Nothobranchius furzeri: one gene and its partner. The protein of the gene in region 1 purifies or fractionates together with the protein of each later gene. This does not show direct contact. Links are inferred from orthologs where the notes say so. Each region holds a gene or a part of one and is shown in the gene's direction. Other genes may lie near its edges.

The links. Proteins that work in one complex are often made in the same cells at the same time.
Region 2: the proteins of chaf1a (region 1) and cbx3a purify together in Homo sapiens (affinity purification with mass spectrometry; 5 studies listed by BioGRID and IntAct, with this or other methods). This does not show direct contact. The link is inferred for Nothobranchius furzeri from reciprocal best matches to the Homo sapiens genes CHAF1A and CBX3.

Annotation. Positions count from the first base shown.
Region 1 is NC_091748.1:48,298,864-48,303,023, reverse strand, and holds the start of chaf1a (chromatin assembly factor 1 subunit A), read left to right. Parts: upstream 1-1,302; 5' UTR 1,303-1,512; coding exon 1,513-1,576; intron 1,577-2,694; coding exon 2,695-2,742; intron 2,743-4,160. Other genes in the region: scamp4 (secretory carrier-associated membrane protein 4), read right to left, coding at 40-112. UniProt on the Homo sapiens protein: Acts as a component of the histone chaperone complex chromatin assembly factor 1 (CAF-1), which assembles histone octamers onto DNA during replication and repair.
Region 2 is NC_091751.1:29,401,785-29,405,617, forward strand, and holds cbx3a (chromobox protein homolog 3a), read left to right. Parts: upstream 1-1,281; 5' UTR 1,282-1,430; intron 1,431-1,443; exon of another isoform or gene 1,444-1,761; intron 1,762-1,944; 5' UTR 1,945-1,948; coding exon 1,949-2,091; intron 2,092-2,240; coding exon 2,241-2,397; intron 2,398-2,500; coding exon 2,501-2,595; intron 2,596-2,842; coding exon 2,843-2,969; 3' UTR 2,970-3,330; downstream 3,331-3,833.

The DNA of each region.
Region 1 (4,160 bases):
ATAAGCCCGTTTTACCGGGACAAGGTTTATTTTACTCACGTTTCCGTCGACAACCGCAGGAATGGATAATCCAGGATGCGCTTTTTCGACCCCCTTCAAACGTTTCACGCATGCGCCACAACTGACGGCTTTGTAGTTTTTTAACGTCAGTACTTAACGCATTTGCCCTTCTGAAAAACTACATATCCCTGCAAAGGCTTGAGCGATAACGGAAAACGCGTGACAACATGATAAACGACGTCCATCTATGACCGATTGGTACGACTCAGTTCAAATGTATCCCGCCCACTTCCTAGTGTGTGAATTATGGTTGCAAATTTTATATAATTAAAACGCTTGTATGCAACGCTTGTATGCAGTATTTGACATAAGACAACTTTCTCACTGACACAAACATGCTAATGTTTGCGGTGTACTTAAAAATAAAAAAAGTATGTTAAAATGAAAATGAGCTTATTCAATTGAGAATGGTCAACATGTGGATTTGGCGCCATCTTGAGTCAGGTTCACAATAACGAATCATTAAAATCTAGTCAACACGTTTCATATGAAATTATTATCAATCAAAATTTGAGGATAACATAAACTGAAATATCCTTGGTTTGAAATTCAATGTGCTTAAGTTTATATATATATATATATATATATATACACGCCCTCTTTTAACAGAACAGTTTTCATGATTGGGTTCTCTTCAGGGCCAACACAAGGCAGATGACTTCTAAAGTTTTATCTGCTTGTTTTTGTCCACATTTATTGAATTTTAAAATCCCTGACATGATTTAAACTTTTTTCCATTTGCTTTGTTGTGTTTATTGTTGCTTTTTGTTGGTATTATTTGTGGTATGTGCTTTTTTGTTTTTGAAGTTGTATTAAATAAAGATTGTAAAAAAAAAAAGTCAATCCTATCACCCAATCACTGATCCTGAAACATCAACTGGAAGGAGTGTCTTTAGAAATGAATCTGCTACGTTTCGTTTCGTGGTACAGAGTGTCCCATTACCGGGTGGATAGTATGCGCTTAAAGTGCAATTTATTAAATAGATCACTTGTTTCTAAAACGTTACAGGCTTTATTATTGAGGAAAATATATAAATCATAAAGTATTTTCAACCTTTCTTTCTCTAAAGTTCAAAAAGCTTCACATAACGTGAAGGTTGACACAAACGTGCAGACCCGTTGTTCAAATCGAGCATACTCTGCAGAACCAGAGGAACGTTTTAGACCAATCAGCGAAGGTTATTGATGGAAGCAGCCGGCTCCCGCCAATTCCGACTCTGGAGCGCGAGGCAGACGTCGGGGTAGACCAAGGGACCACTTCGGAGGCACGGAAAGAGTTTTAGCTATGTTTTATCTGTTATAAAATGAGATTGCAGGCCATTTAAATAAGGACACAATAGTTTTGTAATATTAAAAGGCACTGGTTTGTGTTAACATTATATCTAGCGGTGTGTTAAAGTTGTTTTTGTCGTTAACACCGTGATCGTGAAAAGCCCCGGGTTAGTAGTTGGGATGTTGGCAGCCGAAAACGCATCTGTGGACGGACATTTGTCAGCATCGACTCCCCGCAGAAGAGGTAAAAAATCATCATGGCAGTGTACCGACATTATGATCGATTACTCGAAGTTTTAGTAATGTCATAGTGGAAGAACTGCTGTGCTATTTTGTTTGTATGGAGTATAAGTAAATTGCATCAACGATTAAATATATATATGTTGTACAATTTCAAATTTGTCAACGCTAACCTTTTCACAGCAGAGCTTTCACCGATCTTCTGTACTGAATTATGTTTTTGCACCAAATGCCAATTTATAAACGTTACAGCACAACTTCTGCGTAAAGCTAGCGGTCTCACAGAATGGATGTTATTATTTGACCAAACACCAGTTGTGGGAACTTTGTCGCATTTGCCATAGACTGGTTACACATCGACCAAGTCTTGCTATGCTACAATGACAAATGCTTTGGTAGCTCACGGATTGTCCTTCAAAGTTGCTGGCTAGTTTGATTAGACACAGCTAGGTATGTAGCATGCATCAGGGTCTCAAAGCTAACACCTAACATGAAAGCTACTTTTATATTGGAGCTGTCAAAGCTCCTCTAGTCCTCGGACTGTCACACACACGCCAGTGGTTTTGCGTTTGCCATCATTCTGTCACATTGCAGCCGTTTTTCTTATTTCCTACGTTTTCTGTCGTCCGTAGAAGGCAACCAAATCTCTGCCTGACAGACCGGAGGTGTTGGCCCTGTAGACTCGGGCCTGCAGTACCGGTTGACACAGTAGTTGGCGGGAGAGCGAGCCGAGCTGCACCAGCAGGGATACTTTACTGTTAGCACAGCGACGGCACAGAGAACCAGGGCTGCACAGCTGCACCCTTCAGTTTAGCTTTGCTTATGGTAGTAATGCCAAAACTACACAAACATATTGTTCATCCATGATTAATCCATTACTATATTTTTACAAGGATGTTAACGAATAGATTCACAGGTATTGTAATTGTGTTTAGTTTGATGAGTTTTACTGAAGTCTGATCAGTTTTGTGGTATTTTTAAAATGAAAAGCTTGAATCCTTTTAGCTTTTACAGTTGAGACTTGGCGCCTTTAGCCTAATAAGTCATCATCTTTAATAAGCTGAAATGTATTTCAACTTTGCATATAATCGTATTTTAAAAAATTGTTTTTGCTCTTTTCAGGAATGGATTGTAAGTCAAGTAATAATGCCAGCAAGAAACTAATTCAAGGTAAATATGTATTATTTACATAAGATCAAACACTGAAGAAAAAATAAAACACCCACGTTCATAAAAATGATGCACATATATAAACTACACTATTTTATTTAGTTTTAAATCTATTAGTCAAGAATAAAACAGTTTGGGGTCAATTATGCAATCTTTGACAGTAACCTAGAGATTGTGACGGGTGATAGGAAACGTATGGATGAGACTGACCAAGTAGGCTGCATGGTGGCGCAGTTGTTAGCACCGTTGCCTCGCAGCACGAAGGTCGCAGGTTCGAAACTCGGCTGTGGCCTTTCTGCATGGAGTTGCATGTTCTCCCCATGCATGCGTGGGTTTCCTCCGGGTACTCCGGTTTCCCCCACAGATCACAGCATGCCCTATAGGTTATAAATTGTAAGTCGCTTTGGATAAAAGCGTCTGCTAAATAAATAAACATAAACGCGAATAAACATAAACAAGTATGGATATGTCTGAAAACATAACGGTGAGTTGTGATTAGGGGTAAACCGATACTATCAGGCCCATATTCACCTTATACATTGGCATCGGCTGATATATCTCTTTAGTAAATCCAATTTAAAGTTGGCACATCTGTATATTTATGTTCCTGAATCTTTGTTTTATAAACTTTGGTTAAATGTTTTATTTTAATACTGAGGAGTACACAAAACAAATATTCCACAGTTAGTTCAACTCAGTGTTCAAAAACTGATTCAGGTTCAGAAATATTACTCACATCTGCCGTTGTTATTTGTGTCATTTTGATCATGTGAAAAATCTCAAGTCAGCCATGAAAATTAGCCGAAAAGAATCAGCAGCACTTATCGGCTGACCCTGACCTCTGCCTATCGACATTGGCGTTAGAAAAACCCATATCGGTTATCTCTAGTTTTGATGGTGAACATATAATCTTTAAGTGGCTACATAAATTAATTATTAGCTGTTAATAATTGGACAAAGTGTTTCTACATTAATAAAAGTTTGAAGAGCAACCGACTCACACACCAGATAAAGCGCCTGTCAGGTTTTATTAATAATGTGACATTAAGTGCTCAAAAATGTTACATGTTATTAATAATAAATGAATAATTTGTTTTTTATATTTATAGTTTGTACCAAATAAATAAAAATGCATGCACATAAAAAATCGGATGTATTTTTTATTTAGGTTTTTCCAAATATTTTTTTACATCTCATCTCCAACCCAGTCTAATTTGCAGATACACAACAGCTACGTGTCTAAAATAAGCTCCACTCCGCTGTGTTTGTCTCAGCGTGATTCCAGACCGGAGATTAAACTCTGAAAGTTTAGGAACTTTAACTCTTTGTTCTTAAAGGTTAGATCTTTTTTTACGTTTATCAGTTTTGAAGAACAAACGCATCAGACACGGTTATAAAAACCTCAGAGCAGCAGCCCT
Region 2 (3,833 bases), on another chromosome or scaffold:
TGATACATAAGGTTGTATCTATGTTACAAAGACCCATTCTGGAAAACATAATTTCTCACTTTTCCCATAAAGATGCTTCTAAATGGCACAAAAAGGCAAACTTTACTCATCTGCTGACCCTTTTGTGCTTTACTTAAGTCAGCTGATCTGACATGAATCCCCTCACATCTACTAAAGCACAACCTCACCTAAAAATAACTTTAGAACAGAAGAAATCCCCTGTCATGCAAAATATGTTATCCACTCGCTACACAAACAAGAATGATTGTTGTCTGTTTATATGTTTGGGATTATTAGAGAATGCAATATGACAGGCTGAGTGTTTGATTACACTAGGGCAGGGGTGTCCAATCCTGGTCCTCGAGGGCCGTTATCCAGCACGTTTTTCGTTTTAACCTGCTTCAGCACACCTGATTTCAATCAGCAGGTGATTAACAGGCTTCTGCAGAGCCTGATGAGCTGCTGCACAGGTGATTCAACCAGCTAATCAAGCATTTTGAAGCAGAAAAACCACAAAACCTGCTGGTTACTGGCTCTCCAGGACCAGGATTGGACTCCCCTGCACTAGGGAGTGTATAAACTTAATTGTGATCCAAAGATCATGTTTTCTCTTTGTCCTGGTTTAAACGTTTATTTGTGTGCATTTCACTTTCATACATCTTGTTTTTTCATGCATGAGTCACATTTGTCTGTCTGTTTGCGGTGATTATTGAAAAGATAAATCTGATTGAAGAATACTTGATTTCTTTATTAAAAACATTTAAATAATGTCTTGTTTTGTCTGGCTAACAGGTTATATATACCATTACTGTTATGGTGCTGCGTGCTGGTGAGCATATCAACATTATTTTCCTCACCTGAGCTGAACACCTGTGTTGACCGGCATCATTTCAGGACAGAAGGCAGACAGATTTATTAAAATATGGCTGTAAAGCATATTTAACAAATACTCGTTCAAAATCACAAGCCAGTCATTTACGGTATTCAGTAGAAAGTAAAAGAAATTGTTTCACTCAGTCTGAGAACAATCTAAACAACTTGAGACATCAGGTGCTCAATTTAATCTGAATTCAGCATTAGCATTATGACTTTGGGGTCAATTTGTTAAATTTTTCATTTTTGAACAATCTGAAAAAGAAAATGATTGCTAGTGTTTATGCTTTATTCCTTCCACTACTTTATAGTTTAAAACATATATAAACGTTTTCATTTACTACCAACGTGTCTCAGATTGCGTTAACTAGCGGCTTGAAGCCTTGGTTCATGAAAAGGGCCCTTCTGGAACACATGGGTCAGCTCGGCTGCAGACGAATCGCTTTTCCTTCTGGGCTTCCGTAGCCACAACTAGTTTTTGGCGCCGCCTTCGTTGTGGGATCGACTTCATCCGAGCGGCGTGGTGCTGAACAACTATAGAAATCCGCGCGCTTTGGGTGAGTGTGCGGAGTTCTTCTCTTTTAAAACAATGTTGAGTATTTCTTTAATTACATCAGGCTACTCTGAGCGTGTTAAAACGCCACCTATACGTTGCTGGTTTTTTGACAAACAGCAGTTTAGTTGTTGACCCAGCAGCGTTAGCATCGCCATTGTTTAGCTATTACTGTAATATGTTAAGCTAGCTGAAAGTAAGGCAAGTAAGGTGTTGTTTTGTGGGGATGTGTTGTAGTTTTACCACAGTTTTTATTTTATCTTTTACAATTCTACTAATTCTGTTGCTCAAATAAAATCCGCAGATGAGACTGTTTAAAATCAAGGAAATTTTAGGTAAGGGGTCAGCGTGTTAGCAACCTTTGTTACGTTTAGCTGCTAAATGCTGAGCTAACTAGCAGGTGGGCCAAATTAGAGTAATGTCCTATGTTAGCGTTGGCTGAGTTATTTGTAGCCTAGCATCCGGGTGGATTTAAGGCCTTCCGAATAAATGCGGCTCGTCTTTTTATCTTTAAAAAGCAAAATGGGCAAGAAACAGAATACAAAGCCTAAGAAGGAGACCGAGACCCAGGAGGAGCCTGAAGAATTTGTTGTGGAGAAAGTGTTGGACCAGCGGATCGTCAACGGGAAAGTAGAGTTCTACCTGAAGTGGAAAGGCTTCACAGAGTGAGTTACCCGGGACAATGTCCTGCTCTCTCCGCCTCTAACGCACCGTGGCTGCATGAAGCCTCCCAGCTTTTCCCTTTTAACACGTTTGGGATGTTTTTGGTTTGAACGCTAACCTGTTTTTTTTTTTTTTTTTTTTGCTCCCTCAGAGCGGACAACACCTGGGAACCCGAGGATAACCTGGACTGCCCCGAGCTCATTCAGGCCTTTCTGGATTCCCAGAAGAATATAAAGGAGAAGCCGGCTGCAGTGAAGAGGAAGGCCTCCACAGATGATGCAGAAGAGGAACCCAAGAAGAAAGATGTGGTTAGATTATACGTTTTTTATGTCTCTGACCTGCTAGCATGATTCCCTGTAGGTTGTGCAATCAGAATATGGTTTATAACCTGTTTTTGTTTTTATTTGACAGCCTGATAAGCCTCGCGGCTTTGCCAGGAACCTGGAGCCAGAGCGAATCATTGGTGCCACAGACAGCAGCGGGGAGCTGATGTTCTTGATGAAGTGGTGAGTTAGGCAGACTTTACACCCAATTTCAACAAGAGTAGTTTCACATTTACCTCGGTTGCTTTGCATGGCCATTAGTGTTTTTTTAGGGAGTCGAACTAAAAGCGGAAAAGGTTTATTACAAACATGTAGAGTATTTAGAAATAAAATCACTTGAATATATATAATTTATTTCTTTGATTTTTAAATAGGCTTTTCTAAGATCTGCTGTTTTATTTTAGTTTTTATTTATTTTTTTGTCCCCCAGGAAAGAGTCAGATGAAGCAGACTTGGTCCCTGCTCGTGAGGCCAACACGCGCTGCCCTCAGGTGGTCATATCCTTCTATGAGGAGCGGCTGACGTGGCATTCCTGTCCAGAGGATGAGGCTCAGTAGCCTTTGCCTGGATTCTGCACACCTTTATGTTTTAGGTTTTTATTGTGTTCTCTGTTCTGCTTTTTTTTTTCTTCTTTAGCTACTTTAGCTGATTTGAGACAAAATCATTTGTATGGCAGTTGGGGTATTGTAGATTAAAAGTTTGTCAAAGCAGGTGACTGGGTTGGATATAAGATTAGTCAAAAAGCGATAATGTCAGTCCACATTCCAATTTGTTTATTTTTTTTACTTGAGTCTATGTCAACCTTTTTGAGTTCAGTTAAATGTTTTGTTCCTTGATGCAAGTGCCGACGTGTTTGAAATGAACGCTTTGTTTACAGTTTGTAAATATAAAGTTCAAATAAAGGTTTTATGTGGCCTAGTTTTACCCTCTTCATTTGTAGTTTAGGACAAATGCATACAGAAAAAAGAAAACCTAAATGTTGCTTTATTAAAAGTGTCACAGCCAGCTGAGTGGTTCTGTCAGGGTATCAATCCTTGGCCTACATCAGAATGTTATTTTGGCAGCAGCATTCTGATCTCCTTAGAGGAACAGTGGTGAGATATTTATCCAAGGAGGACCATGAATGTCCACACCTGTCTGGAGCTCTATCAGCTGCTCATTCTGTTCTGCACTTGGTGTAAATGAGGCTTCAGTCTGCTGGTTCTCAGTAATGGATAATGGTTGGTTTCTTCTATAACCACTTGTAAAGACACATTATGGAGTTTATTTTAAAAGTAACTGGTCACATGTTAACAGCTATTTGCCTGTCGGAGATGTTAAACTTCCAAAAAAGCCTGGAACAGCTGGCAGGAAGTGTTGATGAATGGAAACATTTAAAGGAGACTAAAATCAGTCCAACCATAGTTTTACCTGTCATTTGA